Linked DNA regions of Schizosaccharomyces pombe. The protein of the gene in region 3 interacts with the protein of the main gene of each other region in a biochemical or structural test. Each region holds a gene or a part of one and is shown on either strand. Other genes may lie near its edges. The genes, in order: sim3, cbh1, cnp1 and ani2.

Region 1 (8,057 bases), 2.8 Mb from region 3:
TGGGTCCTTATCGCCGATATATTCGGACAAAAACACCTGAATAAAAGGAGTAACTAAATCGCTGATGCCTTGTACATATCCGCTGGCTGGGTGCCGTGAGGCCCAAACATATAAAATACGCTCAAGCATACGCTGCGTCAATGGGTTTTGGTAAAGAAGAATAGAGGGGTTCGTCCTCGGAACGTCAAGGACAATTTGTCGCCAAATAGTTTGATCCAAAGGTGGTGGCTCTGTATTTGTATTAAAGCAGGAATCTTTTGCTGCGTTATATTCGTCTCTCTTTCGCTTTAAAGTGACTTCACGACGAGAAGCATTACAAGGTAAATATCCTAACAAGTATTTCCAGACAATAGGTCTATGTTCGGAGGGAATTCCATTCCAAGCCAATGTACGAAGCGCATTTAAATCCACAATTGGAGCATCAAGAATTCGCGAAAACTTCTTGATCCGAGAGACAAGCGCATTGCTTTCAGCAACCTCAACTTCTACAGAACGATGGGCTAGTTTAGCGGGTAAAGGAAAACGACCAGACGAATGAAGCTTTTGTCTAGAAGTGGTAGTATCCACGCCATTTTGAGGAAATAAGGAGCGGCTTGAAGAATTTGGAGTAGTACTTCGAGCCATACGAGGAAGAGATTTTGAGGCTTTAATATTCGAAACTCCCCAATCGTCATCTGTCTGTGACAAATATTTGGCAAACTTTGCAGACACTTTTTTGCCTACAACAGCTTCCAAGGAAAGAGAAGATCTCGCAGAAGGTGCATAGATTTTAGACTCACTAGCAGATTCGGGTCTAGTTATGGACCGGGCCAAAGAGATATGATCTTTTGGGGGTTGATCTGAGTAAACAGAGTCGTCCAATCTGAACGGTTGAGCTTTGGAAGAAGTGCTTCGACCACGATGGTGATGGGTCCGGCTTCGATCCAAAACAGTAACTGGATCCGAAGTGGCGCTAGAGGATCCATTCCATAAGCTGGAGAGAGTTTTTAAGGCGGACGACTTTTTTGACTGAGATTCCATAGTGGAAAATCTTAAAATACGAGAAGAAAAATTGTTTTTACAAAATGAAGCAGTAATTTGATAGCCTTGATGGACACAACAAATTTAGCAAATAACAGATACTCTTTGAATTTATCGCCAAAATAAAATACTTTTGGTTAAGATGCAAAAAACAGTTTCAAAATTTGCTGTAAAAAGTAGATGAAACGTTTTAGAAGGCAATAACTTCAAATGTTTAACGACGAAGGATCTTAGGCACCACTCATAGACTTACCGGACTTGAAGTCTTATTCTTTTCTTATCAAATGAAAACTATTTTCAAAAAAAAAAAACTTAAGCTATTAGAAGCAAAGCCGTGTCTGTGGGTTCCATCCAAACGAAAACGCACCAGCTCGAGATCTTGTGATCTATTAGAACAGCGCGGAATTTGAACACGAACAAATGTTTCGAGAAAACCTTAGATACAATCCAATACACTAGTATATTTACAAATTTTAACCGAATATCAACGAAATTGTGAAGATTTACTCGGTCTGTGCAGTTGCCAAGGCAGTTGCCCTTATTTGGTGGAAGAACAAAACAATAGGGAGGAAAACAGTAGGTGTATGGAGTTTCTTATATATGAGGTTTTTTTAATAAAAGGAGCAAGGTTTAATACTTTAATTATTTATCTCACTTTTTAGTTAAAGGAAATTCGTTTTAAGCCATGAACAGTTGATAGAAGGATTTTGGCCGTGCATGGTCTTATTGCTTGGGAATGTTGGGTTTATATGCGCAGAGTAGTAAAAGATACACAGCTAGGTCTCATTTAACAATGTTTATATCTATGAGTTCTATCTCTTCTTTACTTAAGTTGCTGCCAGTAAAAGTGAACAATGTAATTTTGACAATTGTGACTAGTCGCTTTTCAAAACAAAAAAGAGAAAAGTATAAACGTTGATTAAGAAACGTAAAAAAGTATTTCCTGTCAATAATGAATCTCTGATTTTATTGTTATTTTTCGTATTGACATCCTAGTTACCTAATATAATACGATGAATTATAAGCATTTTAATACCTACTAAGTTTAAATTTTCCTGAAATACAGTCTAAGATTTTCCTGTTCCTATATATTTCTAACAAAACACATTTTTCAAGTAGATGATCAACGAATCTAGTCTAACTTTCAATCCCAGTCTTTTTTTTAGCAGTTTCGGGTATTTGTTTTCAAACATGTATTTATATCTTTGATTCAGTAAAATTACTTCAACAAATGCATTGAAGAGGAATGATTTAAAAAACATATACGGTTTTCAATGTTTTAATGAACAGAGCAATTTTCCAAATGTTGTCTTGTCAAGAAATTGTAATGTATGTTCTCCAAAACTGACATGAGAACAAAATAAATATGTACTAAGATAAATTTTATATTGAGAACAATCAAAAATTATAGTAAGTTTAATAATCATCCAAAAAACACTTTCCTTCTCTCGTTTACATCTTGGAAAACACTCTAGAGTATCGTTATTCATTGTGATGAAATCGAAACTACAACTCCAATCCAATAATAAAGGTTACTGTATGACAATAAAATAAACCATACATCTTCCCTTTAAGTCGTATTACGACTTGTAAGAAGATTTCCTGGTTGCCAAAATATCATTCATAGTACACAATAATATTATGTGCAAAGGTATTGAAATGAATAAGTACGAATCAAGGTAAATGATTATTATTCCCAAATGAGCTCAAACAAAAAGCAAAAAGAATAAAAGGAAGCCTACAGCACCCCGGATTCCCATGTTGTCTCCAACCATAGTACTAACGAGGCCCTCAGACGCTTAACTGCAGTGATCGGACGGGAACTGGTGTTTTCGCCTAGGTATGGCCGTAGACGTTTAAAGTAGAATATTTAAACATTTTAAAGAAAAAATTAATAATCAGTCAGAGTACTGTCGATTCACTAGAAATTTTCTATTTATTGTTTATATATTCATACAGTAAGATCGTGAAGTATTCAAATCCTTGGTATATAGAATATTATCTTCATGCATTCAAAGATCGTTTAGGAGCTATTTGTACAAGCTACTTGGTGCATATTTGTCTGTTTATATTGCAAAGTCAAGAATTTTAACATAGAGAAAGAATAAAATGAAATGGAATAAAGAAATGTTAAATAATGTTATGAATCAGACTTGTTCTTGAATTGCTAGTCATAACAACTTCTATAAGACTCAACACGTTTACGCGCTTTTTATGAATGTAATACGTTAGACAAATTAAATAGACAAGTACAGTCTATGTGTCATTGACTCAACACTTAAGCATTTATATGATCTACAAAGATGAAGTCTATAACATGATCTATCACGTATTATGAATGCTTAGCCATGGCTGCTTTAAGAAGATCATCTTTTAATCCATAAAACAACATTGTTTTGGCACGAAGCGAATGATCCGTTTTGCTTCGCTTTGCTGGAATAAAAATGAAGCTGTCAGAACGAATCCTATACATCGTTAAAATAGAGTTATTAACAAAGGAAAACAAATAAGTTCAATTTGTTGCTCTTGTTATGCCATCAAACGCTCGCCTATATACGCTTCATCTTACTCCCATTACTTGCCAATGCTAATAGATTCATACATCTGCAAAGGCTCACCTCTACTTATTAAGAACAAAACAGAGTGGTTTTAACTCATTATCTATTAGGAGAAAAAGCCAGAATATATTTTTATTAATATTTCTAATCTAAAAAAGTGAATTATCGAGTCGTTTTTTCTTTTTCACTATTCAGTCTGTTGGGTCACTTTGGTAGACCTAGCGTAATATCTAATTGTCGTACCTATTACTTGAAGTCTTGAACTTCATAATTTTTAAAAGTTACGCGAAAAATGTCTTCTGATACGAAAACACTGGAAAATAGCAAAGGCAATAGTGCTACAGATGCTGATACCAAAAACCCTTCTTCTTCGGATTCGCGAGCAATTGAGCAACTAGTCACTCAAGGTAATATGGCTTATGCTCAAAAAAATTATGAGGAAGCCGTTGATAAGTATGGTCAAGCGCTCATGCAGTCAGAGTCCATTCATGGTTCTGAAAGTTTGGAGAATAGAAATGTTCTTTGGCTGTATGGAAAATCTCTGTTTCAAATAGCTATTGAAAATAGTCAAGTCCTGGGAAATGCGTTGGGTGCCAAGGAGTCTGTGTCTCAAGCAACCGAAAGTTTTGAAGAACCAGAAGCTATTGGCTCGTTCACATTTTCTGGTCAAAAAATTGAAAATAAATATACCGTCAATGAAGAAAATTCATCAATAGCACATCCAGAGAAGGAAAGTGAAGAAAAAGAAACAAACGAAGCATCTCCAGCTTCTGAAGAAGATGAAGACGATTTTAACGTTGCTTGGGAGGTGCTAGATCTAACAAGAGTCATGCAGTCAAAAGCAGTAGATGCTTATCCTGACAGTAAGGATGAAAAGATAAGACTGGCGGATATTTACGATTTATTGGGAGAACTTTCTCTCGAAATTGAAAACTTTTCTCAGGCTTCTCAGGATTTAAAAACGGCCCTTGAGTGGAAAGAAAAGGTTTACAACGTTTCAAATAATACACTTTTAAGTGAAGCCCACTATAAGCTTGCACTAGCACTTGAGTTTACCAATCCAGAAGATCCCTCTAACAAGTCCCGCGCTTGTGAACATGTGGAAAAGGCTGCAGAAATCTTAAAAAATGTCTTAAATGAGCGGGAAAATGAAGTTACGGATAAGAAAGGGAAAGGAAAGCAAAAGGCTGAGGAAAGCACGTTAACTAGCGATCTTGAGAATTTGCGCGAAATGCTATCGGAACTTGAACAAAAGACGCTTGATTTAAAGCATGGCGCGCCAAGTTTGGAAGAAGCTGTTATGTCAAAGATGCATGAGTCATCCTTATTATCTAAGGATAGCAGCAGTCTCGCTCAAGCTGTTGCTGAAGCTGTGAAAAATGCCAATGATTTAGGTGGATTAGTAAAACGGAAACGTACGAAGCAAGAAGTTACTAGCTCCTCTCAAAAAGAAGGTCCTAAAGATAAGAAAAAGAAGGATTAATTGATCACAATTAGTTGAAGTTAGCAAGAGCTCTCAATCGTTTAGCATTTCTGTTCTTCATTTACATACACAATGGCTTCCTAGGAGTATATGTCAAAAGAGCTTTTTAATTGCTAAAATTTAATTGCTTTATTACAAAGGAATTGTTTAGTATAATCGCAATGAAATATGTATATGTGCTATTCTTTCTATCTTGCAAATTTGAATCTTATGAAGGGTCATTTCCTAAAATATATATGAAAGATCCATTCCGCATCTTTTTCATTAAGCATACGGGTTCGAGACATGATATTGCAATTTACGATCCTACAGTTTAAAAAATTAAGGAAAAGAAATATATGTTTTTACTCATGTACGTGTCAAACACGTAAAATCGAAATATTGCATTAAGCAGGTATTTATAAGGCAACGTTTCTATATAGGTTGAAAAATAAGATAATCAAAGCAGTTGATAGTACTAAATTAAAATGGCGTTATAATTATATAAAGTTCTTAAAGAGCATGTTTAAACAGCTACTTTGATTGCTTGTAGTTATAGTCTTCAACGTATTTAATATGGAAACTTAAGTAAAAAAACATAAATTTAAAATGCCAACTCCTTTACTCCTAAAAAAAATTATTTTTGTTCTATTTGATAAAAGATGGATATCAAATAGCGCTATCTAAGCCGTCTGCTAAACACTATACCATACAAGGTACATACTCTGTAAATGTCTTAAGGATACTTTAAACGGGCAATTTAATTGTGAAGTACAATATTGATATAGACAGGAATATAATAATAAACAATGTGTAGTATTTTTTTTAATGGTTTAATCATGCCAGTGTTTGGGCATCTCACAATCAGCTTAAGGGGCGTAAATTCCTTTAAAATTTAATTTTTAAGGATTCAGATTGGAAAAACGACCTTTCTTAGATAACTATTTATCTATATCCGTAGAAACGGCTCTAGATAAAGAATCCAAATAGTGATTTATAACGTATTGTAGCGCTGTTCACCTATAGGAATTGTAATCACATTTACCGTATATATATTTTGTGCACTCTAACTTGTTCTACTATCTAAGCAATTTATTCACATACCTACTTACGGAGTCTGCAAGAACATACAACAAAACAAGTTTTCATTATTGGTTTTTTTTAAATCAATCCCCAAATCCAAGCATCATACGCCAAAGTTTAAGTAAGAAATATCTTAGAATATGGCGTTTAGGAATCGAATGTACCAATTGTCAAATGTGGATGATGCTGACGCCGATATTTTAAATTCTCACTTTGCACCAAACCCACGAGGGCAAAATCATACACATGGACGCCGACGCAACACGTTAGCTTTATGTACCACGAAGGATCAAATGTTTGTTTATGGCTCTACGCCGGCAGGGGGCGCGGAATGGTGCTCCTGAGGCGCTTGAGCGCTCAAGACCTCGTGCTGCCTTTAAGCAGCAGAGGCGTCGCCATGTTCCACGTTGGATTAGTGACAGTTTTCGAACGTGTTTGCCTAAGCCCTCCGGCATACTGAAGGAACAGACGGTAAATGAAGAGGAAGGCAATTCAAGACATAGAGGAAAATATGATTGTGATGAAAGGATCGGTGTTGCAGAATCCATGAACTATTGGCATGGGATAGTTCGGACTGAAGAGGATGGATCGAAGACTCTATTTTTAATACCTGAAAGTTGGGAAGACGTTCATTTGAAAGAAGGATTAGTTGCCATCATAGACTTAGCCGTGGATCGGCTTCACTGCTCGAAGCTGGTATTATTCGTTGATAAAAATAACAGTTCTCTCCCTTATTTAGTAAAAAGCTTACATTGGGTGGGTTTTGAGCCTCTCCCACATCTCAATTGTAGCGATCATGCTCTTTTCGGCATGGAGCTGTGAACGAGACTATATCTGTTTATCCTTAAGCTTTGATTCATCCTTTATTTGCATCTCAAAGTAAGAACACTGGCAAATTTTCTCGGTTGTTTTGATAAATTTGTTATTGAGCTGAATTGATAAAAATATATGCCCCTCATCACATGTCATGGTTAAACTGTGAACATATTATTTCTTCCTCCCCCATTATTATTTTTCATGGAACTTCATTAAATATTTTCTTCGGTTACACTTTGTCTTAGGTGTGCTTGGAAAGAGTCAGCGAGAATTTATTCAATCCAGGTTCATTTATTACTTCCTTGTGAATACCAAATTTATTCAATTCACGAGGCTTTTCATGATTTAGTTGTAGATTTTATTTAGATTGGGTTTACGATCATATTTTTGCTTTTATTACCCCTTTTTTTAAGTTATGCCTGTTTTTTGGTTATATAGTTTGAATGCTTTTCTCTCTTTAATATGTTAATAATACGAAGGAAACATCAAAAAAATATATTATTTTAAAACAAAAATTAAAAATAAATAGATAGATTAAATGTGCACTTTAAATAGTTGGAAATACGAAATTTCAGCAAAGGGAGGCGTAGATCATAAATAATCGTTAACGACTATTTATTACTATTTTTGCTTTTAATATAAGCAATCCTTGCGTCTCTTATGATTCCGGCTTTCTTGTCCATACAAGTACTGAATATTTTAAGGCTGAAAGTAGCGAATACAGGACGATGATCGGAACATCTAATGTCACAAGATTTATAGCAATTCCTAGTAAACTAAAGTTTCGGTTAGAGGTACACTACATTGAAATATATCTACAACTTACACTTTTTGTGGCCAAGATTCGATCTGTCCATGAAGGCACTCTCTGTTTATCTCTATAGCCATGTTAACAGTGTGGATTTGGTTTATGGTAAACGTACGAAGTGTCATAATCATTGGTTCCATTATCAAATTTGTAAGTAGGAAGAAATGTTAACTGTGGTTCAACTAAACCATGAAACACGGTGCCTTTCTTCATTTCTGTGCATAACTGATCATATGAAGCCAACTTGTCTAAGTCGTCCAGTTCAACAAGTTTTCGAACTTCTTCGTTATCAGAATCTATACGATAATTA
Region 2 (8,402 bases), on a different chromosome or scaffold from region 3:
GTATTCGAATGCTGAAGTATACATTTTCGATGATATTTTCTCCGCTTTAGACGTCTCAACCTCGAGGAAAATATACGAATCTTGCTTTTTGTCTACTTTGCTTCAACACAAAACTATAATCCTTTTCACTCATAACGTCAGTTTGTGTTTACCGATTGCTGAAAATGTGATTGTGCTTAAGAACTCAACTGCTCAGTTGGTTTCTCCAGATTCTATTCAGGAGTTAGTACCTTCTACATTTTTTTCATCAAATACCAAGAAGGACAATATAGAAGAAGAAAATCTTGAACCGCATAGTTTCTCATTCGACAGTACCTTAGCTTCTTCAAGCGATAATGATGAACAGCGAGATTTTGCTTCAAACTCTAGTATAGTATTACTGGGATTACATTACTTGAAATACTTTGGTTCTAACAAATATATCCTAGGGTCAATACTACTAGTTATGATGTCCCAAGTTTCGTTGGCCAGCATTCATTTTTGGATAGCTTTATGGTCCGGAAACTCTTTATTTTCACTTAAGCTTCCTTCTTCTTTTTCTTTCTTATGGGGCTATGCTATACTTTTGTTTATATACTTTCTTATGGATTTATCGCGTGCAATTACTTTTGCCAAAGGTGGTAGAACGGCAAGTGAAAATATCCATGATATTTTAAGTGAACGAGTTTTATATAGTCCGTTACATTGGTTTGAGAAAACGGCTGCTGGGAGGATATTGAATAGATTTTCTAAAGATATGTACGCCACGGATAATCTGTTATGGGCCTCTTTGGAAGGCATGTTGTTGTGTGTAATGGCTATATTAATAACTATGCTAAACGTTACTTTGGTGATGCCAATATTTATGGTGCCGGCTGCTTTTGTTAGCTTATTGGTTTATCTTCATGGATATGCGTACTCAAAGGCACAAAAACAGCTTACCAGCCTACAATCCTCGAGAACCTCACCTGTTTTCACTATGCTGGGAGAGACTTTAGGAGGGATTACAGTTATCCGTGCTTTTAAAAAGGAGAAGATTTTTGAACATGAAAATATGGCTTTTATTGACGATATGATTCAACCATTGTATATATCATTTGCTATTAACAGATGGCTGGCAATACGTACGGATGGGATAAGTGGCCTAGTAGGGTTTTCAACTGGTCTTATTGCTTTGTTAAGACAAAACATACCACCTGGACTCGTCGGATTCTCTTTAAATAGTGCCATTGGTTTTAACATCTCTGTACTCGTTTTTGTTAGGGCTAACAACGAAATTTTGACATACATAAACAACTTTCGCCGATTATATGAATATATGCTTTTACCAAGTGAAAAGAACGAAAGTTCTTGTTTGACGAAACCTATGAATAAAGAATGGCCTACTTTGGGGCATGTCAGCATCAAAAATCTTACAGTCTCTTATTCAATTGGCCAAGCGGCGGTTTTGGAAGACATCAACTTGGAAATACTTCCCAAAGAGAAAATTGCTATTGTTGGGCGAACAGGAAGTGGTAAAAGTACAATGGGTTTAACTTTACTTCGCTTTACGATGATCATGTCAGGTGCGGTTGAAGTAGATGGCATTGATATCAACTCTCTAGATTTGGAAGTCCTTCGTCAACGTATTAGTTTAATTCCACAGGATCCTGTGCTAATATCCGGTACGGTCCGAAGCAATCTTGATCCTTTTGAGGAGTATGGAGACGGAGAACTAAATGAAATACTTAAGACTGCTTCCTGTGAATCTTTAGTGCAAGCTTCAAACAAAAATTCTCTTGACGCTTTTGCGATACATCTTGACACACCGGTTGATTCAGGAGGTGTCAATTTTTCTTCCGGCCAAAGGCAAATTCTAGCCCTTGCACGGGCGTTAGTCCGAAAATCTCGTATTGTTATTTTGGATGAGAGCACAGCGTCGGTAGATGATACTACTGATCGAAGAATTCAGCAAATGCTTCGTGCAGCATTTAAACATGCTACCGTTTTGTGCATTGCCCATCGAATTAAAACAATTGTAGATTATGATAAAGTCTTAGTATTGGATTCTGGTAAAACGGTGGAATTCGGATCCCCCAAGTCACTATATACTCAACGACGGGCGTTTTGGAAAATGTGCAAGGAAAGTCATATTAGTCTTTGAATATTTTTTGCTGACTTTCAATACATTCCATTTGTAGAGCAGCTTTAAACTGATCGTGAGCACCCATCATTTTCTTTTTTTCTTTTTTTTTTAGAGCATACTAGAAACATTTAAACGAGATCGAGCAGAAATCGGTAATAACAAGCCAAACTCTATAAACAAATGATTTAACATTTTCGCTGTAAATAAATTGTCATTACTGAATACCTAAGTAAGGCTAGCATATAATAAGTTTATATTTAATATGCATTTCAAAACTGAAATGCGAAAGAGTATCGACTAACTTCAGCACTTTAAACGGAAAGAGTGCCCGCAAGCTGTTCATTATAACGTAACCCGTAGATTGGGTATTTACTCAAGACCTCTTTGGCCTCTTTAAATTGTTCAGGAGACAAAGATTTATTCAGTGCATTGAGATTGCTCTTTGTACGAGAAACAGATGTGGAGCCAGGAATAGGAATGACCAGACCGTTTCCAGACGCCATTATAAAAAGAAGTGAAAACTCGGGCATAGTCATACCAAACTTTTTAGCAAGTTGCTCGACAGCTTGGAGGAATGGAAGATTTTTAGCAAAAACATCAGGGCTAAATCTGTCCAAATATTCTAAGAATGGGAAAGATTTAGCAAATTCTTTAAGGTCTTCGACAGTCTTAATGCGACCAGTCAAAAGGCCACGACAGAAAGGAGAGTATGCAATAATAGGGATAGATAACTTCCTACAAATATCCATAATACCGTTTGTCTCGATATCACGAGAAAACAAGGAGTATTCGACTTCGACTGCAGCAATGGGGACCACAGCGTGAGCACGTTTGATAGTTTCAGCAGAAACTTCGCTAAGGCCGACACATGAAATCTTTCCAGAGTCCACAAACCCCTTCAATGTCTTCATGGTTGTCTCAATGGGAACATTTGGGTCGACTCGAGCACATTGGAAGAGATCTAGCTTTTTGGTCCCACGTAAATGAGCTATCACATTTTCAACACTCTTTGACACGAAGTCCGGATTTCCATCAGGAACTAGTGTTTTAAAATCCAAACCACCTTTGACAGATAAAAACACCTTATTAGCGTTTTCGGGATATTTTTCAAAATATCTAGCTAATAAATCTAAATTAGAGGTGGGAGGGTCGACACCATAAAATTCACCCGCATCCCAATAATTGGAGCCTTGGGATAAGGCATAATTCATTACTTCAAAGGCTTCTTCATCTGGAGTTTGCTTGGGCTTCCAGGTTAAACCCATAAGACCAAAGCCAATAGGTCCGACTTTAAATCCGCTAACGATAGGCATCTTTTCACAACTTTAATTTAAAAATGCTTAACTCTGTAAATATCAAATGTGTATTCTCAATTTTAAGCGAATAATATTGGAAAAACTAAGCTGCTAGGTATGCAAAGCTTGCTATTTATATGATAACGGTACCGTATGCTGTAAGAATTTCCTAATGGTTCTTTGAGACGATGCTTACTAATTAGTTCTACTGTTAATAATAATGAATCAAACGTAAGTAACACCTACTCTTCGTACCGTAACTAGCTTAAACAGCTTTGTTCTTTATTTTTGGCTTTGCTTTTATAAATTTACTTCTACATTTTTAAACATTGGATCACACGTGTAACATACATTATTGAAATAGACTTGATAGTAAGTATTATGAATTGAACTATGAATGGAAATATTGGAATTAAAAGTAATTACACCAAAACTGAGAACTTACATATTATGTTATTTGAAAATTCGAGAATTTATTAAATGAAAGAGAAGGGAAAATGCTCATGAACTTCAGAATCGCCATTTTTGTTACAATACCAAGGAACATTTATTTATTTACACATTTTTGTTTAATAGTGAGAAGAGGTGTGCTACAGAAATGAAATTTGAGGAAGTATTCAATTAGACTCTCATTTAAAACATATATGAGAATTGATTTTAAACGGTTTCTAACAGCGTTCATGTCGTTCTTTCTCCTATTTTTTGCTCTTGAATTCTCTTTTTCTTACTGACAAAATCGTTAAGATACGCAAATTTGCTATATTAACCTGAACGTCATAATTTGAGCATCTCCAATGGCATTGTTATTACAGATTAACAATAGGTTCGGTATATTGCACTTAGATTATATAGGGTGCAAGGCAGAAGGATGCACTAGTAGTACTCACCTTCTTAAACCCTACAAGGATAGAATTCGTCTTTTCACCGTTATTTCCGATATCTACTACAACATAAAATAATTGTATAAATCCAAGGCTATACTCTTATATCGGTCTGGAAAAGTATCGGCATAGTAAGTATTAAGGAAAATCAATGCCTCCTATACGCCAGGCCGTCTCTTTAGCAGAGAAAAAGGCAATTCGAGATTATTATAACCAATCTGCCCATAGAATTCCTCAAAAGGAAGTGACAGAATGGTTTCGAAAAACGTACAATAAAGATTTATCGCAGTCAACGATTTCCGAAATTCTTTCACCCAAATACAGTTATTTAGATGATGGAAGTGTAAGACTCGGTGATATTAAAAAAATTCGAGCTCCAAAGTTTCCTTTGCTTGACAATGCCGTGTACGAATGGTTGCAACAAAGAGAAGTTGAAGGCCTTCCTATATCAGGGGATATGATCAAACAAGCTGCTACTCGATTTTGGTCGAAAATTCCGGCGTATGCTTCTCTCCCATTACCAGACTTTAGCAATGGTTGGTTGGATAAATTTAGAAGAAGACATTATATCCAGCAAAGTGCGGTAAATCAGGCATTGGAATCCATCAAATTTGAGGTGTTTAGAGAATACCCAGTTCATATTCAAGAGTTTATACGGCCTTATGCCCAAAAAGATATATTTTGCGTTGGAGGGACAAGCCTTTTTTGGAAACTCACTCCTAATAAACAAAACTTGGATTATCAGGAAATCCAGGGAATGAAGCGTGGAAAAGCCAAAGTGTCTTTAATTATGTGTTGCAATGCCGATGGGTCAGAACGACTACCTTTATGGATCGTGGGTTATGCACAAAACCCAAGATCTTTTGAGCAGTGCGGTATTTTCCCTAAAAGTATGAACTTCGAATGGAAGTGGAATGGCCGAGCTTCAATTTCACCAATTATTATGGAGGAATGGCTTCGGTGGTTTGACACACGTATGCAAGGACGCAAGGTCCTATTGATGTTAGAGAGCAATGACACATATCAGTTCGGTGTTGAAAGTGTTCGACGGTTTAAAGGTGGTTTTCAGAACACCTCTGTATTTCGAATTCCAGAAAAAACATTGGACATTAAGTCTCCGTTTGAACAAGGAATAGTCGATACATTTAAAGCGAATTATCGAAGATACTGGTTGCAATACTCCCTTAATCAAATCAACATATTGAGAGATCCTCTAAAAGCCGTTAATGTTTTAAAAGCCATTCGGTGGATGCTTTGGTCTTGGAATTTTGGGGTGAGTGAAAAGACTATTCAAGCATCTTTTCTCCGATCAGGATTATTGGGTCCACATTCCGAGGCCGAAGGACAAGGAATGGAGTCGTATCAAAAGGCCATTATGGAAATTGGTAATCTGATTTCAAGCAAGGGCAGCGAAGCTGTTAAGCAAATTAATGAATACATTAGACCTTCTGAAGAAGATGAAACCAAATTACATCAAGATGCTGTGGATACCGTTGCTGCAGAGTTTCTGGAGGAGAGACGCTTTGAGTCGGATGAGGAAGAAGACGTGGAGCCTCAAATATCAAACGTGGAGGCTGCCATGGCCTTTGAAGTCTTAATAAAATATTTTGAGCAACACGAAAATGGGGATCCCTCGTTTGTTTTAGATTTGTACCGCAGACAAAGAGTGATTGCCCCTAATAATTTAATAGCGTGATCCACTTACGGAAATAAATTGAGAGCGAGTCTTACTAAACCCAATAAGTGCTTCACGTTGGATGATTTCAATCTCCAAAGCAAACAAATTTCCAAAAAAAAAATATAGTGAAACAAAAGTCGACACTCGTACAAAATTACTTTTTTTAATTGAGATTAATGTTTCTGCTTACTTTTGGTTAACTATGGCGGGCGGCTTTGAACCCTTCTCGTTTAATATTCTTTTAAATTCACTTAGTGTGTGTACATATACCTGAACAACAAAACATTTTATAGGATTCTAATGATATTATGAATTATTAATGATTTTTTTTGTATAAACTGTGTCACATTGTGTTTTCCTTTGTTGTATGCAAGACAGAGATATAGAGAAGCAGTGAGAACAATTAATAAATAAAAATCAGTTAGCGCGCAAATGAAAAATAAAGCATTAAGCAATGATGCTTTAATAATTTAATTTAATTTAATTTAATTTAAATGCTATAGATGATGAATGATCATATGGTTTTGTGAGTGAGATGCTGTTTGAGTTGTTGCGCTGGTAAACCACTATTGGAAATGCTAGAAAAATGGGTAGGGGTTTTGATATGACTTTAAGTCCGAATCTGAAAACCGAACCATTAATTTTAATAGCTAGGTAAAAAAGCCACACACAATCAGAGATTTTACCAAAACAAGACATAAAAAAATCACATTATGGATATGAGGCAACTGGAGTGTGGAATTTAAGGAAATATGTTTATATAATTATGAGTTTTCATTGAGCTACAAAACAGAAGATATATTTCATTGAATAATTTCTGTAGTGATGACCCACTTTAAAAAAAAAAAAATTTGAAAGTAGAGTAAACAAAATGGAATATGCCATTTTTAAAATACACACTAGAATGATCCACACTAGCTATGGTGATCTTAAAGTATATATACATATCTTCTTAAATCTTGAAAGTTTTGCTTATCAGATCTTTAACGCGCTCCAGTACGAAAAAATGGCATGCTTAAAACAACAATACAATAATGTGATGAGTAATAATATGGGTTATTAAAAAAGTAAATTGGAGAAACAAAAAAATTAAAACATTGGAAGAGTGTATAGTTCTCACGGTTTTGCGTTTTATGTGTTTGAATTTACAAATTTCAGTGATCTTCGCTATCTTGACAAGTTGCACAATGGAAATTGGCACTGCGACCATGAGTAAAATAGTTTGAATTTCATTTCCAAATTTAGTTGCGATGTTTGCGAACAAATTACTGAGTGATTTGAATGTAGAGCAAAGATGATTAGTTAGAAGAAACAGATAGAGGGAAAAAAGAGAAGAGTTAATAATTGAAATAAAATAAAAATAAAAAAAGGGAAATAAGAAAGCAAAAAAAAAAATTTTATTAGCTCTTGAAAATGTGGATGAAGCACTTCCAAATAGTAAAATTTGATTAGGTAAACAAACCGAAAAGAATAAAATGAATGCCACCGAAAAAAAAAATGTATGCAAAAAAAAGAACAACAAATGGAAACGAAAAAGATTTTCTAAAGCAATATCAAGAAAAATTTTTTAATTCATTCTAGTCTTCCTTAATCAGCGTCGCATTTCGCATATTCAATACTTTCTTTCATTTTCCTTTGTTGCATGCTTTATACCATAGCAGGTTATGCACTAATCACATGGACTATAAACGAAGACAAATGTCCGAAGGTGGTCAAAGTGCGAACCGCTTAACGAACCTTAACACAACAGTGTCAAGAGAAAGCTTCGCATGTTGAAAATTTTAAAAAGACGCAGAAAGGATACTTTTGCAGTAGCAGCAATAGGTCGACCAAAATACTGGCTCATAGAAAGTAGTAGTATTATATTTATGATGCTAAAGAGGTTGCTAATTAGGATGCAAGCGATGGGAATATCAAAGAAATGTAATAAAGAGTAGTAGGGACAAACACTCAAGAAATAGAATTTTATTTTATTTTTTTATATTTTATTTTTCTTTAGTAACAAATGGAACTCTGGTTCGTTAAGTGAAAACAAAAAAAAAAGACACGTTGGCATAAAATCGACTCACATTCATCAATCAAGACCAACTTTGAAACACATTATACTGCTACTACTACTACTACATTACAACCGTTGTGTTTTTGTTTTACAACTACCAATCCAGTCAATCCCCCACATAGACCAAAATCTCCCACACACGTGAACCCCAGTCCAAGTCTTCACCAGTCCCCTCCATCCCACCCTTTCCTAGTCTTAACGCTCACCCTACCCCCATAAGGATCGAAATCCCCCACTTTGCGACTTTCAAAGTACTGGGCGGAAACTGGCGTAGCTAATGTCTAAGATGTCAGCGTAGGTGGCGAATTTTAGTGTCTCGGGTATATCTGTTTACACAAGCGTTTGCTACTATTACCAATTCCTAAATACAGAATAATGGTTTAAC
Region 3 (7,958 bases):
AAGGTAAATTAAAACAGATCCTAAGCATCCACATAAAATGCTAATGAATATAAAGGGAAGTGTATCTTTATAACTCCAACGTCTATCCAAAGAAACATAAGAAAGATATCCAACATCTGTGTGCCAAGACCTAATCAACTGTAGAGCTACCACAGAAGACGCAGAGCACAAAAACTCGTACCAAATGGAGCCAGTAAATAAGCTTGGAAAAGAACTAGAAGCTAGTTGTTCTAAAGCAAAAATAACACCACCAACAGGAGCATTAAAAGAAGCAGCAATACCGGAGGCCATAGCAGCAGCAAGCAATTGTCTAGTAAAAATTTCAGAATCAGCAAGACTTGGAGCTATTCTTTCAACTAAATATATTATATTTGTCGCTATATGAACAAATGGCCCTTCTTTTCCAACCCATAAACCAGATGCAACACTGAAACAAACAGCTAAAGATTTGGAACAAAGGGTTTTTATAGAAAAAAAAACGTTCATATCAGGGTATTTATAGCCACTCAAAATTGCTTTAATTGTCGGAATGCCACTAGCTCTAGCAGCAGGAGCTACTACATAACCTAAAGTAGTTGCTATGAATGCAAACCCGACTGAAACACTAACGTATATCAAACAAGAAACAAAAACGGAATGATTGTTTCTCCAAAAAAAAAATTCCTGACATTCATAGTCCTCCGTTAGGGTTGAACAACAAGTCTGTTTGTCAAAAAGTATATTCACAGTACAATACCCTTCACGAAAACTGTTAAGTAATGATGCGAGAGCATTTAATAAAGCAGCTGTTAAGCCGATAAATATACCTTCCAAAAATGTCAGAAATCAGATAAAGAGAATACAGTAAATCAACAGTCAAATAAAATATCACGTACACTACCAACATGCAGATGCATTTAAATGGTTGGATTACGTACCTGAAATAATGGAAATAATTGAATATTTGGTTTCTAAACCTAGAAACCTGAAACGGCCTGCAAGACGATTAGCACTTTTCTGCTCTTCATATCTCTCGTGAATCCAATCAATGAGTTGGTCATCCTTCATTTTAAGATTTTGTACCAGTCAATAGTTGTCGTTAGTTAACAAATATATAAATTCACCTAATAGCTTAAAGGAATAAACGTAAGAGTTCTGCTTGTAACTGACGCATTTAATGCTTGTTAGAGAGGTTAAGGATTCCGGGCAAGTAACTAAATAGTCTTCCGCAGTTTACTCAACATGGAAGTAATTTAGTTTTATCCTTAATATGGGGATTTAAAAAACAAAAAAATGACTAGCACAAAACGTTAAGCGGCAAAAGGTAGGCAGTGAGTAGGTAGGGACTGTTGTGTCGTAGCGAGATGAAAGAATTGTGTGTATTGAAAGCTGCATTCCAATAAGCAAATACAATCAGTAACTTAAAATAATATGATCATAAATGATTAGTGACTATATTTATTACTATCTTTATTGTACATTAAACCCTTATAAAGGAAGTTTCTTATTAATATCTAGTGTTAATCCATACGTAAGATTATTGATATAAATCAGTTGTTGCATATACCTAATTAAACATAAACACTTTTTTTAATACTGTTCAAATAACTTTTTCGTGCATCCAGTTCCTCGCTGGTTGAATCTGTGCGAGACAATGCAATCCATTTTGGATTTTCATGAAACAAGCGCATTGCGTGTATATAGTCATCAGTGGTCGTAGTAAAACGATGATAAATTCCAGGAGGAAGTATTATTAAGTCGCCTTTCTCAACAAAAATTCGAACCCATCTATCATCGACAGAACGGACATCAAAGTAACCATTACCATCGAGAATTAATCGAATTTCCTCATCTTCGTGCAAATGTTCTTCAAAGAACTTCTTTACCATATTGTCATAACGATCTCCAAGTCCTTTTCTACTAACAACAACTTCATCCCGATTTTTAAATCCATATTCTTTCATAAGGCCATCGGCGAAGGTATGTAGATCTCCATCATGATGTCTATAGGACACTTTAGCAGCTTCTAAATCTTCAGCTGAAACTTCAATCTTTGAGTCATTCGGCTTTCTTTGATCGCCTTCGTCTTGGAAAATGTATGCTCTCATTGATGTTATTTTTATGTTGAGTCACGAGCAAATTAAAGAAAATTAAGACTTTTTTAAATTATTGAACGAAAAACTTTAGACTAAACAGAAGAGGTGTCAATTGGAAAGCAGGCAAAACACTACTCGAGTGAGAGTAAAGGTGAAAATAAAAAAAAAAAAAAAAATTCTTCTGTGCATGTAATGTAATACAGTATCTATTGCATTATGCCAAACAAATATTATTGGGGCAGTGTGACAATAGAATATTACATTAAAGAGTTTTAAACTTATGCAATAAGTGCGCAATTTTGTTCATCGATATTCCAACATCGTGAATTTTCTGCTAATTTAGAAGTTTCTGTTTTCTTCTTTTTTGTAACAGTAACCTTTGAGAAAAGCAATAATACAAAATCCCCTTATAACTTTTTAATGTATTAAGCAAGTTTCACGCTAATCAACCAGACCGCCTATTATCATTCCAAAGGACAAGGTTGTTTATTTTAGTCAAGTTTGTCTATTTATTAGCAGTAACACGTTTAGGTGAACATAGATGCTGTGCGCAGCACGAAAGTGTTTGAACAAAACATTTATTTCAGTAAGACTAAATGCATTTTCTTGTCTGGCAGAACTAAATTTTCGGCATACATGGTATTGCTCTAAAAAAGAAACACCTTATCAACTAGAAAGACTCCAAGAAGAAGATATTGAGGAAACATTTATATGTGGAAAGGGCCCTGGTGGACAAAAAATAAATAAAACTAGCATAGTGGCCCAAGTCAAACATATTCCGACGGGAATTATCGTTCGATCTCAAGACACACGTTCACGTGAACAAAATCGTTGTATTGCAAGGAAACGGTTAACGGAGAAAGTAGATGAATTCAAACACGGGAACGATAGTCTTTTAGCAAGAAAAGTTCAACGTATTGTCAAGAAGAAAAAACAGCGAGAGAAAAAAAGTAAAAGGAAGTATGGAAATAAGATTGATGACCAGGATTCCAGCCTGAATAATAATGAAGCGAAACAAGACGTGATCTAATTTGCGTTGCTTCGGTACTCACATGGCATTAACTAGGAGTGAGATTTATCATTCATTATGAGCATATTCGTACATTTTTTTTAATAATTCTTTGGTAGATAGCATGCTTAGAGTCTTATAATGAGTAGCTAAAGATCTGTCTCAAAATCACCTGATATCAATTAAACTGATCATACCTTAGCAATTCCAATTTCAATATGATTAAGCGTAAAACTATTTTTTTTTGTTGAATATATAGTGTCAAGCACCACGAATCCTCCTGGCTAATTGCATGTCTCGTTGCATAATCGTCACTCGTTTAGCATGAATAGCACATAAATTCGTATCTTCAAATAGATGAACCAAGAACGCTTCAGCCGCTTCCTGAAGACATTGCAGTGCCGTAGATTGCCAGCGCAAACCAACATCCGTTGAAAAATTGGCTACAAATTCTGAAGATATCTCTCGTACAATTCTTGAAAACGGGAGCCTTTGTATTAATAAGTCTGTAGACCTTTGATATTTTCGAATCTCTCTTAACGCCGTAGTACCTGGACGATATCTCTTTTTACGTGGCCGTGGAATAGGATCTCCAGGCTCAGCCATTAAAGATTTCTTTGCCATATTAAGTTGTTCCTATCAATTTCTTTTGGGAATAAAGGTTTTTAAACAGTAATTGTTGGAACAAATGCAAGAGCTCGATACAATGAGTTTTGGTTTTGACAGGGGTTTGACGCGTCGCGACTAGCATAGACTCTAAATTATTTAGCTCACTATTTAAAAATGTAAACAATCAAACAGAAGTTCTTTGTCAGAAAATACTAAAGCTACTGTTTTACAAGAAAATCATTAAAATACATGAAAATATTAGGCTCTTGTTCGTTCCACATCATCAGCTAAAAAGAACAAGTATTAATAATAGCTTACGAATATATGATTTCTCACTATTTATAGGTAAGAGAAATTAATCATATAAACCCAAGCGAAACTCAAGACCGATTTTTTTTTAATTGAATAAACATATGTGCTCTCTTTATATCTCGGTTATAATTGATCCAAAAGCCTTAAAAATTTATCGTACTCTTTTACAAAGAATTACATAACGCAGTTTACCGTGGAAAAACAAATTAAAAATTTGACCTATGGTAAAATCAGACTGCAACAAGCATTAACTATTTATTAATTAATTTAATGAAGGATTTTTATAAGAAACATAATTAAATTGTTAAGTTAAAAATAATTTTTTTGACTTTTGCATTCCATTATAAAAACGGAAAGTTGTTTGTTCTCTGTTTTGCAATTCCTTTAATAGCTCAAGTGTTTTAAACATAAACGGTCGAGATGAGTACAAAGTCAAAGGACCAACATGCAAGGGTATCATATTTATACCAGGCTTCGCAATTACTTTTTAGAAACGTTCAAGAACCTACATTGTCGAGACACTATATCTCTACAGCCAAGGATGTTTCACAAAAATCAGTAATGCGAATACACCCAGATATAAAGCGCACCATATGTAAAGGATGTAACTCTTTATTGGTACCAGGAAAGTCATGTTCAATAAGATTTGAGGAACCATCACGGAAAAATCCATCTATCGATCGTGTATTGTGGATATGCAAAAAATGTGCGTTTAAAAAAAGGTTTTCGGACAAAAGTTGTTAAAACATGTTTAGCATTACTTTTGGAATGAAAGATTATTTGTATTCTATAAAGCCGGAGCAACTTTTGTTTGGTATTTTGGTTCTTTAATTTCGCGAGATTGCGATTCAAGTAAAGAAAGATTCCCCATTTCCCGCTTACTCCTTTTTCTTTTGAAATTTTAAAGGGTTTTTGTTGTACATAGACCAAGCAGGAAGACACACCTATTTTTAAATGAATGTTAATATTACATGACTAGAAGCAAAAAAACTAGCTTACAAGAGCCACCAACGATGCTAAAATTAAAAACAATTTAATCACACAATAAGAATCTTGAACTAAATACCCATAAATGTACGAAATAACCTATAGATATATTAGTAAATAAATGAGATTTTATCCCTGACATACAGCACTTGTACATAGACCATAGTTCATATACTTTTGACACCTTAATTGTCCTGCAAAATCGATCGTACCTTCAAGATAGTTCATGGTATGCTTGCTCTTTCTCAAAACAGTAAAGTTGCTTTTTGTATTATGTGGTTACAACGAATGAATCTCGTTATCGTTCGGTTTACCATAATAACGTGTTGTAATCCAATAGCACGTTGTACATTGATGAATATGAAACAAAAAACAAGCAAAAAAAGAGGCATGAAAATATATAGGCAAATCGGTTGCTCCTTCATTTTCAATAGATGTAAATCAACACCTCAATGTCAAATTCGATTTGAAAATGAAAAAGCGGCTCATTGATGACCTATTAACATTATATAGAAATGATCTTTACAATTAACAGGTTAAGGTACTTCAGCGTTCATAAACGATTAATAATTAATAAAGATTCACCAACAAGGGCTTAATTTAAATGTATGTGACTTAAATCGTATATTAATTGCTTAGGTGGTTTTTTTTTTCATTTGGTGAAATTATCTTTTATTAGATGTGCGATTATCATAAATTTTGCTAGTACTTCATTGCTAAAAGAGGTCAAGTCTCCACTAACGGTATAAAACAAGCATTACACGTATACCTTAAGCAATTTGGGTCGTGCCAAAAGCAATTAGTAATGTGTAGCTGTTAAAGTTATTAGGTTCCATAAAATTAAGAGCTTATTGCTTCAAAGATTTGTCCTTTCCGATTTTAAAAGTTGAGGTCTTCTTAGGGATAATTGCTTCGGCTAATTTATAATAATTTCTAATAGATCACCTTCAGTATTGATAAATTGCCTACTTGAAAAGTCAATGTGCAAAGCGTTTCAGAAAGTAATCATCGATGTCAGCAAAGGTCGTTTTAAAGGATTTCTTATCTCAAGCGCCAATTGATAAGTTAAAAGCTACTTTAAGTGGTCATTTGCCTGTTAGTTGCATAACAATGGATGCTAAAATAACATCATTACAGCCTGGTTACCATTTTCTTTTTTTCTCTTTAGCATCTCCTGAATCAAATTTGAATTCAGATGGATATGAAAGTCTTTATTCCCCAAAGCCAAATAATCCTTTTTCTTTTAAGCGCCGAATATGGTTACATGGAGTCCTTCGTTTTCATAGACCTTTACATCTTTTCCAAACTTCGGAATGTCATGAATTGATTCAGGAAGAATCTGTGAAATCTCCATCAATTACAAAAGAAGTTGAAGCTTGTCTTCCAAAAAGTTCTTTTCTAACAAAGCCTACTTCAGAAAAACAGACAAAGCATGTATATATTCGAAGAAAAATTTACGACAGTCAGCATCAATTATGTATCGAGGAAGATAGAACATTAGCCTATTTAAATCGACAAGAACTGGCTATACCAAAAACTTTACGTAGCAAAAGTATTCCACAACACTCTTGGGTATTCACACCTACACCTATTATGGTGTTTCGCTATTCAGCATTAATGTTTAATGCTCATATGATCCATTGGAATGCGACATACGCTACAAAGTCCGAAAATTATCCAAATCTCGTTCTTCCAGGTCCTCTTCTAGTGACTAGTATGTTAGAGTACTTTCGTTCTGTTTATCCCCAAATGTCAAAGAACATGAAAAGATTTGAGTTTCGATTATTATCTCCCGCGTTTGTCAATCAACCACTACGCATATGTATCTCAGAGACAGGTAACCTATGGATTGATCGATTTACTACAGACCTTGATCCACCGTCTTTGATTGCTAGAGGCCGCGTCTATACCTAACATAACTGAAAAACAATAATAATTAATACCGGCAGAAAAAATATTTCTAAATTACAAATACTACTTACTAATATTAAAATTTAAGTATGTAAAACTAAATCAAATTACATGATAGGTATTCAATTTAAGGTGAAAACACACAAAATTTTTTATTAACATTTAACAGTAACTTGGTAAGAAAAAAAAAACAATATTAACCAATCCCAATAAAAATGAAAACAAAATATAAAAACACTTATGACCGTCCAAAATAAAAAAGGAAACCGTTAGACGGAGAAGGGGTTTGAAATTACACATGAAGCTTGAGGATACGATGAAATGAAGAGGCAAAATTAAGATGATAAATGTACATGAAAGGAGACAAAGGAAAAAGCACTTTCAAAAGGGCTGTGAAATAATAACGGTACCAATTTTTTTCTTGAAAATAATTAGCAAAATGCAACTTTTTTTAAAATTCATAAACAAGGAATCAATGAAGAAGCGTAAGAGGTGAAAAATGACAATAGATAATGCAATAACCTTTTTTTAATATTTGTGGCAGAAGAGACTCCTTTCAATTTATCTACCGTGTTTCACACGGAGATGCCTAACCAAGGCATCATGTCTACTGAAATGGCGTTGATCGCCACAAATCTCACATCGAAATACAGGTCGTGTCTTAGCATGTATCGTATCCTGGTGACGGATCAAATCATACGTCCTAGAAAACACTGTGTTACAAATTTCTCCTGTAACTCTGTTCTGAAGAGTACACCGAACTGGACCAATTTGTTTACCAAATTTAAACTTCCTACGCTTCCTCTGAGCACCCGTAGCAGTAGTAGAAGAATTTGTAGGAGTGGTGTCAACAGGAGCAGATCCGTTGGGGCCATCAGCAGCAGCACCGGTGATGCTTACTTTTTGGTTGGTTGGATTAGGTACCACGGAATGAGAAGACCTAGTATTGTAATACGACTTAACGTCATTTAGGTCATGAGTAGCAGCCGATTGAGAGTGAGGAGCGTTGGAACTGTCTAACTCTGAAGTCGGTAATAAGTTAGGTATATTAGCAG
Region 4 (7,575 bases), on a different chromosome or scaffold from region 3:
CGTTTGTCTTCTATCAAAGACTGAAACATTTCTTCGTTTCTTTCTTCATTCTGTTTAATAATTGCCTCACTTTCCAATTTCCTATCTTGGCTTAACAAAACTTTTTCCTCTAAATCTTTTCGTTGTGCATCTAAAAGGGTATACGTTTCCAGAAGGCTTTCTCGCTTCTGTATATCATCATCAAATTGCTGTAACCTCTCTTCTCTGAGTTTTGCAAAATTAATAACTGCTGATAAAATTAGTTGTAGTCGATTTCTGTCTGGTTTCAATAGGTCTTGAATCGTAAAGTCATGAAAACAGATGTTTTGCATGAATTGACTTAAAATCTGATAAAAAACAGTAAATCTTAAAGACTCATGTATTATCTCGAAATTCTCGACAGAATCTTGTAACGAATTAACCTTCTCTTCTAAATTCTGGCGGGTCAACCCCATAAACAAGTCAAGAAATTCTTCATACAGAGGGATGACGGCTTTCGAGGTTGGTTGGTCAAGCTCTTTAGCCGTGAATGGAATTCCAAGACCATCTATGCATTCTAAAATCTCAGCACGCTTCAAAGAAGGAAATGTGTGTTTTCGTGCCATGGTAAAGTTGATGGTTAACTGAACAACTGGATTTTACGTATTTAATCTGCTTTGATTGTGAATTTAATTATAAATATAATAAAATAAAATTTAAATTTTTTATTTAGTTGCATGTTCTAGATATTCAATTTTTCATTCTTTTTAAAAAATCAAGAACAAAGCTGAATTTCGTATAAGTTTTTCTTCTGTCATACATAGTAAATTAACAACTCCGTTTTATATATCTTTTTTAAAAAGTGAACGATTTGATTTAAAATAGTTCTATATAGTTTATATAATTTTACAATCGATGGTTTATCTCAAACGTTGCATGTAAGCAAGAAACAATATAAGGAGCATATAAAAGCTGAAACTAGATAAGAAGATAAAAAAATTAACATTTATGCCTGATGACCCAACTTTACTAAAAGCCTGAAAGGGCTAATGATAGATGAAACCAAAGTTTTAGGTTGACTTGGCTGCAACAGCTTCCTTAACCTTAGCATCAAACTTTGCAACAGCAGATTCAACGGCTGACAAACCTTCGTCTAAGTCGGCTTCTGGAATAGTTAAAGGAGGAAGGAAGCGGAAAACTGAAGGATTATTGAGTGAACAGTAGACTTGGACGTGATATGTATCGGCAAGGTCATTGACAATAGGAGTTGCATAGTATTCGCCGAATTCTTCTTGAACTGACTCAGGAATGGGATAAAATTCAATACCAACTATCATTCCTCGACCACGAACATCCTTCATAACATGAGGGAATTTTGTTTGAAGTTTATTAAGACGATCAAACATGATACCACCTAACTTGCGGCATCTAGAAAGAAGGTCGTTTTGCACGATATAATCGATGGTAGCAACACCGGCGGCAAGTCCAAGAGTGTTTTCTTGATAAGTGGCAGTGTGCAGAAAAGCCGTTTCAAGGGAATTGTAAGCAGCATTCCAAAGCTCCTCTGTAGCGATATACCCTGCAAATGGAATGAGTCCGCCTGAAAATCCTTTGGCGAAAGCGATACAATCCGGAATGATGTTTTCGTATTCACAGGCCCAGAATTTACCGGTACGACCACAACCGGTTTGAATTTCGTCTAAAACGAGATATGTATCGTACTTAGTGCAAAGTTCACGAGCCTTTGCAAGATAACCTGGAGGAGGGACAATAACACCACCTTCGCCTTGAATAGGCTCAACAATGAATGAACGGTACATACCAGAGGATAAGGCAACTTGAAGTGCTTCCGCATCACCGTAAGGGACGTAGTCAACGTCGAAAGGAGCAGGACTTTGATATTTTTGCCATTTTTCTTTGCCGCCTAAAAAGACGGCACCAGTGGTTTTACCATGGAAAGAGTTCAAAGTAGAAAGAAACTTTTTCTTGTTAGGCTTATAACGGGTAGCAAGGCGAATCAATTTAATAACTCCCTCATTAGCTTCAGCACCACCGGTTGCAGTCCATGTGCGAGTAAGTTTTTGACCAGGAGATAGCAAAGCCATATTGCGACCAAAGGCAGCTGCAAGGTTACGATAGGAAATGGCACCCATCATATATAACTTGGCATCAAAGCATTTCTGTAAGCAATCCCAAACATACTGATTGTTGTTACCGACCGTTACGACTCCAACGCCTCCAATTAAGTCCAGATGCTCAGTACCCTTTTCATCAACAAAACGAGAATTATCAGCTTTCACAAAATTGCGAGCGTGGCCATGGACAGTGCGTAACTTGTTTAAGTGGTCGAGTTGTAACTTGACAGTCGTTTCTGGGTCCATTTTCATGGCTTCGTCGAAGCACCACAAACCCTCAGGATAATTGCTGGCTGTTCCATTTTCGGAGGAGGCATCGGTTTTTGAACCATTTGTGTTAAGTTCAACCGTCTTTGAGGTAGCAGTAGCAGTGGACGTGGAATCAATCATGATAAGTGCGTAAATTTAACGTAAATAAACGAGCAGGAAAGATAGTTCTTAACTCAAAGCTTCTTAAATGTAATTTCCAAATGAATCTTTACAGTATATGGTTACCTTGTATAATCCACTCCTTAGATTGAAGAAAAGGTCGAATGAATGTTAACCTTTTACAATTGTTGGCATTCACAGGCAGCTTTAGCCTATATATATAGTAAAAATCATCAATGCCATATTCCTATGTACTTGACCGAAAAATGGCTATTACCTCTCTCACATCCCCCGATCAAAGTCGTACTGCCCAGATAGCAATTAGCGTACTACAGCCTTCGAGTTGGCCGACGGGCAGAACCGAGAAGAAGATATACTCTAATATTTGATCATTACAGAATTGGTCTCAATTATAAGAATTCAAGAAAAAATATCATGCAATGAAGTGTATTTAGTTCAAAAAAGCTTTGGCGCTAATAATAATGTTGGAGCAGAAACAAATGATTGCGCAGAACTATTTTACATAGGATAAAGTAAGCAAAAAAAAAATAATAATAATAATAATTAATTAAAAAGATTAGATTGAATCAAACTATGTGATTTAATTTATTGAAATAAAACTGGTGTTGATTGTGGATATCTATGTAATAAAGGTTACATGTTTTTTTTTTAATAATTTTTATTTATTTATGAATTAATTGGAAAATGTTTAAAAAAGGGCATTCAGCTGTGTCTGGATATTTAATTTTAAATATAAAATAAATATAGATATATTAAAACGATAAAAATGAAAATAATATTTGTCACTTGTCGTATACAGTCTTTAGGATAATAAATTGTAAAGCAAAAATAAATAAATAAATTATAAATTATAAAGGTCACAATAAGATATAAATGACAGCTTTCTGTCTGAATCAGTTTATCTAATAAATTCAAAATTAATAAAATGTATTAAATCATCTCATATTCATATAACGATCAGTTCTTTTGACCGTCGCGATAATACCGCCGAGCCTTAAATTTCCTAGAGATAGAAATTGAAATTTCATTCCTGCTATAATCTGTAACTCTCTACACACTGCGCATCTCGTAGATCTTGATATACTTTGAGATCCCCGTATTCGGCTCAGCTTTGTAATCTAAAGATACCGCGGAGTGAATGTTGGCCGAACTTGGTGTAGCCGAAAATGAAAGAGGAAATAAAGATGTGTCGCAAAGCCAACACAGTGATCTATCGTATTTGTTGGTATTGAATAGTCCGATCCAGTTTACAATGTTGATGCAAAAAGCCCAGGAAATGCAGTAAATACATAACTTGGAAAGTGATTATAAAATCGGAGAAAGAATTCATAGTGACTTATAAAAATAAAGACGTTCGGTATAGAACAAAGCATCTATTGATTCACTGTGATGTAAGGAACGTGTTTAAATGAATAATAAAAAAGCAGTTAACGATATAGCCAAATACAAAAGTTGAATCAAATAAGCTAATATTATATTTTTCGCACTTCTCGGTAAATGATATCGCCTCTGTCAATTTAAAGTAAAGTAAACTTAGACGAATTGAAAGCCAATAAGGAACCAGACACTTTGGTGCCTTTCCAGTTTGAGATTTGTACGGTATAAACGAATTGATGAGTTCCATCAGCGTGGATTTCAATAAAGCATACGCAGTAAACCATGGGTAGATCGATCCAGTTAATTGCATCCTACTATGTATAATTTCTTTTTTTATTCTAAATCAACTTGCAGTAGATAAAATACATGAGAGATATCGCGAAAACCAATTATGAAATCTCAATTAAAAAATTGAGGGAATAAGAGTATTTAGTAGCCTTCTTCATATAATAAATTCACAAATACAAAATTTTCTAGTGGCTCCACCAAATATCCGTAGATAACTAGTAGCGATTGTGCTTTCCCTCACTCATGTTTCAAGACAACGACTAATAAAAAAAGTGTTTTATTTATTCTGATGCCCATTATTGCTCACACATCTAATTCTATCATCAGTTTAAAAGAGTGCTCAAGATCCTCACCTTACTGCGACCAATTAGTTGTCTCAGTAACATACATATTTCTACTAGAGTGCTTACTTTACCTCAAAATAATTCGAATAATATTCAAAAAATTTGCTATTCCGTAATTTCCAGACCCAACTAAACCATAATTTTTTTATGAACCAAACTACACAAAATTAATTAACCGCTAAAAGCTTTACGTCAAAAACCAAATCTGAATTGGCTGGGATACCTGGAAGACGTTTAGAGCCATAGGCCATGGCAGCTGGAATATGAATTGTACGTTCTCCACCTACTTGCATACCCACGATACCAACGTCCCACCCTTTTATCACTTCCTCGAGTCCAAGATTAAAAGTAAAGGGCTTTCCGGTAATGTTTTTGTCAAATACCTTTCCGTTAGTAAGACGACCTATGTAACGCATAGAAACGCGCTTTTTGCGCTTCGCAGCTGGTCCGTCACCTTTAACTTTATCTTGAACCGTAACGTTTCCTTCAAGTACTTGCTTAGGATAAGTTTTTGTAGACTTAGATTTCTTCTCAGTTTGTTCTCCTTCACCGGCGGGTTCGGTCTTTCTCTTTTTGCCGTTCACAGAATCTGATACGTCGACAGCAGTTTTCTTTTCTTTCTCTTCCTTTTTAAGCTTATCCTTGGAATGCTTTTCAGCAACTTCATCCTTTGGAACAGGCTTTTCTAAAATCTCTTCTTCTGCTTGCTCGGCATCCTCTTCGTCACTGTTCAACTCCTCTATACGAGCACCATTTTCTTCCTCTTCTTCTTCGCTTGATGTAACGGAAATATCATCCATTTCTTCTTCATCGCTGCTAAATTCATCTGCTCCATAAAGAAAGTCATTCTCGAGGTCACTACTATCCTCCTCCTCCGGAATGTTTGTAATTATGCATGTTCCGCTCAAATAAACCGGAATATCACCACCAACTCGTTCAAAGAAAACTTCTTCTCCAGGAGAGAAAATAATGTCAATTGGTTGCTGGTAAACCGAGCCCTTTTTAAGGGTGCATAGGGTAAATTTTTCTTCTTGAAAAAGTTCTTCGTCACTTTCTTCTCCATCTTCTTCGGGGTGCTCAAGCCTAGTGATCACGTTTACTGTAACGGCATCATTTGATTTAGCTCTAGGATCCAAAGCTGCCATCGTAAAACGAACAGATAATTCGCTACGAAAGCCTTTATAAAAGTCTTCATCGAAAAGAGGAACACGCTCCTGATCCACTTTAACACTGTAAAGGGTCTCTTCCTTACTCATTTTGTTTATTTAGAATAAATAAAATCCAAAAAGATACGCAATAGACGATGGGAATCACAGAAATTCACCACTGGTATATCAGAGTAGAGTAAGTGTTGATGAAAAAATTGTACCAGTAGCAAACCTTTATGACGCCTTAAGTAATGTTATCTCGCCTATTCATAAGCTTATTATTACCGAACCAAAACGGAAGCGTTAGAAGCGTTTTTCAGTTTGATGCATTCTCAATAGAAAATTTTAAAAGGTACAAATAATTAGCAGTAGGGGTTAATCTTCATGTACTTTCGTTCTTTACTACCAATACTCAAATAGCAAGTCGCCGTCATCTTCATTCGTGATCTTAGTAGTCAAAGAGAAAAAGCCTGGTTATTTGTGAAAATTTTCTTTAAAGTTCAAGAACGGAACATAATTATTTTAGCATTAATTTAACGGAGAAACTACTATTTATTCGAATATCTAATTTTACTTAACAATTTTTTTTAATCGGAATGTGTATACCGAACTAGTCCACCAAGTCATTAAAGATATTAACGAGTGTATACACACTACGTTGTGCATATTGTTGGTTTTTGGGCTGGCAAACCTAACCTGAACGTATTACCGCTCTTTAAACGCATAGCCTCTTGAAGGTTATCTGTAAACAGCGTTTTTCAAGGTTGTAATAAATTCATTTATTACCTATTCTAAAACAGTGTTGAGCTTTCCAAGTTTCACTGGTTGCGGGTTTCAGAAATGTTAGTTCTCAAGCTATTGTTGTGGTCCATCATATCTGGGCTCAGTTTAGCTGAGCAGGTATGGAGAAATAGTAACGCGATTCGTACGATTGATTTACGCTCCACTTATACCAAAACTCTCACTTCTTTAATTATTGTAAATGAAGGAGATGAGCCTCAAAATACATATCGCTACTTTCAGCAGACCTCACCTGGCGAAAGTGTCTTGTCTCTCTCCGTATCGATAAAAGAGGAAGAAAAGAAAGGAACTAACCCTATAAAAGTTAACAACAATGTTTATGATATTCCTTTACAACCTCCTGTCAAACCTGGTGAATCTCGTACTTTATTAATACAGGCAGGTTTGGACGGTGGTGTTCGTCCTTTACCAGCAGCTGTGGATCAAGACGAAGAACAATATTTGGTTTACCTGACAACCCTTTACTTAGATAGTCCCTACACTACTGATCTTCAACGCACTCGTCTTATACTCCCTTCTGCTAAAATTGACACATATACTACGTATAATATTGATGGAGCTGAACTTCCCAATCGTGTTGGCAATACTTTGGTTTACGAAAGCCGTGAGACTATCACCGGGGAGGACAATGATTTAGGTGAAATCTATGTTCGCTATGAGCATACTGTACCTATTCCTCGCGGAGCTGATCTCTATGTTCAAATTGATATGCATGAATACCGAAAAATGTTAGAAGTCTCGGAGCGTGTGGTTTTTGAAAACCATGCTGCCAAGCTGAAGTCCAACTTCGATCGTGCCAAGTGGTATATGGGAAACTTTTACAATCCAGTTTCTACTGCTATTAATCGAGTCGTCTATAGTCTTCCTAGAAATTCCAAGGATGTCTACTATACCGATGAGGTGGGAAACATTACCACATCTCATATGCGAGTTGAGCCTCACCAGACATGGATCGAGTTAAATCCTCGCTATCCTGTATTTGGGGGATGGAACTATTTGTTCCAATTGGATTGGAAAATGCCTTACGAGGAGTTCCGCTCTTCCAAGAATAGAAGGGAATATCTTGATATTCCTCTGGCATGGTCACCTGGTGACATGATTTATGAGAAAGCCGTTTGGTCTTATGTTTTTCCC

Evidence for each region.
Region 1: the proteins of cnp1 (region 3) and sim3 form a complex in vitro, tested with the Schizosaccharomyces pombe proteins (2 studies listed by BioGRID, with this or other methods).
Region 2: the proteins of cnp1 (region 3) and cbh1 interact in a test that uses a peptide from one of them, tested with the Schizosaccharomyces pombe proteins (one study listed by BioGRID).
Region 4: the proteins of cnp1 (region 3) and ani2 interact in a test that uses a peptide from one of them, tested with the Schizosaccharomyces pombe proteins (one study listed by BioGRID).

What each region holds. Positions count from the first base shown.
Region 1 is NC_003423.3:778,076-786,132, reverse strand, and holds sim3 (CENP-A chaperone, NASP family, Sim3), read left to right. Parts: upstream 1-3,649; 5' UTR 3,650-3,870; coding exon 3,871-5,061; 3' UTR 5,062-5,534; downstream 5,535-8,057. Other genes in the region: GTPase-activating protein Gyp1, read right to left, coding at 1-1,020; syj2 (inositol-1,4,5-trisphosphate 5-phosphatase 2), read right to left, coding at 7,551-7,715, 7,766-7,817, 7,863-8,057. UniProt on the Schizosaccharomyces pombe protein: Histone H3 and H3-like CENP-A-specific chaperone. Promotes delivery and incorporation of CENP-A in centromeric chromatin, probably by escorting nascent CENP-A to CENP-A chromatin assembly factors.
Region 2 is NC_003424.3:4,456,799-4,465,200, reverse strand, and holds cbh1 (CENP-B protein 1), read left to right. Parts: upstream 1-4,322; 5' UTR 4,323-4,431; coding exon 4,432-5,976; 3' UTR 5,977-6,281; downstream 6,282-8,402. Other genes in the region: abc1 (ABC transmembrane transporter Abc1/Ybt1), read left to right, coding at 1-2,122; pyridoxal reductase Plr1, read right to left, coding at 2,416-3,417. UniProt on the Schizosaccharomyces pombe protein: Binds to centromeric K-type repeat DNA and ARS3002 DNA. The CBH-binding consensus sequence is Py-Pu-A-T-A-T-Py-Pu-T-A.
Region 3 is NC_003423.3:3,534,351-3,542,308, reverse strand, and holds cnp1 (centromere-specific histone H3 CENP-A), read right to left. Parts: upstream 3,806-7,958; 5' UTR 3,709-3,805; coding exon 3,346-3,708; 3' UTR 3,106-3,345; coding exon of another isoform or gene 2,617-3,105; 3' UTR 2,146-2,616; downstream 1-2,145. Other genes in the region: SPOM_SPBC887.02 (ClC chloride channel), read right to left, coding at 1-806, 918-1,047; adi1 (acireductone dioxygenase family protein), read right to left, coding at 1,551-2,087; pth3 (peptide release factor), read left to right, coding at 2,617-3,105; RNase P subunit Rpr2, read left to right, coding at 4,426-4,749; signal peptidase complex subunit Spc1, read right to left, coding at 4,884-4,949, 5,005-5,091, 5,137-5,220; 3-hydroxyacyl-ACP dehydratase Htd2, read left to right, coding at 6,004-6,906; DNA-binding transcription factor Rsv2, read right to left, coding at 7,465-7,958. UniProt on the Schizosaccharomyces pombe protein: Histone H3-like nucleosomal protein that is specifically found in centromeric nucleosomes. Replaces conventional H3 in the nucleosome core of centromeric chromatin that serves as an assembly site for the inner kinetochore.
Region 4 is NC_003424.3:4,322,624-4,330,198, forward strand, and holds ani2 (FKBP-type peptidyl-prolyl cis-trans isomerase), read right to left. Parts: upstream 5,846-7,575; 5' UTR 5,749-5,845; coding exon 4,660-5,748; 3' UTR 4,524-4,659; downstream 1-4,523. Other genes in the region: protein Nuf2, read right to left, coding at 1-584; SPOM_SPAC27F1.05C (aminotransferase), read right to left, coding at 1,029-2,483; SPOM_SPAC27F1.10 (uncharacterized protein), read right to left, coding at 3,865-4,170; dolichyl-diphosphooligosaccharide--protein glycosyltransferase Ost1, read left to right, coding at 6,481-7,575.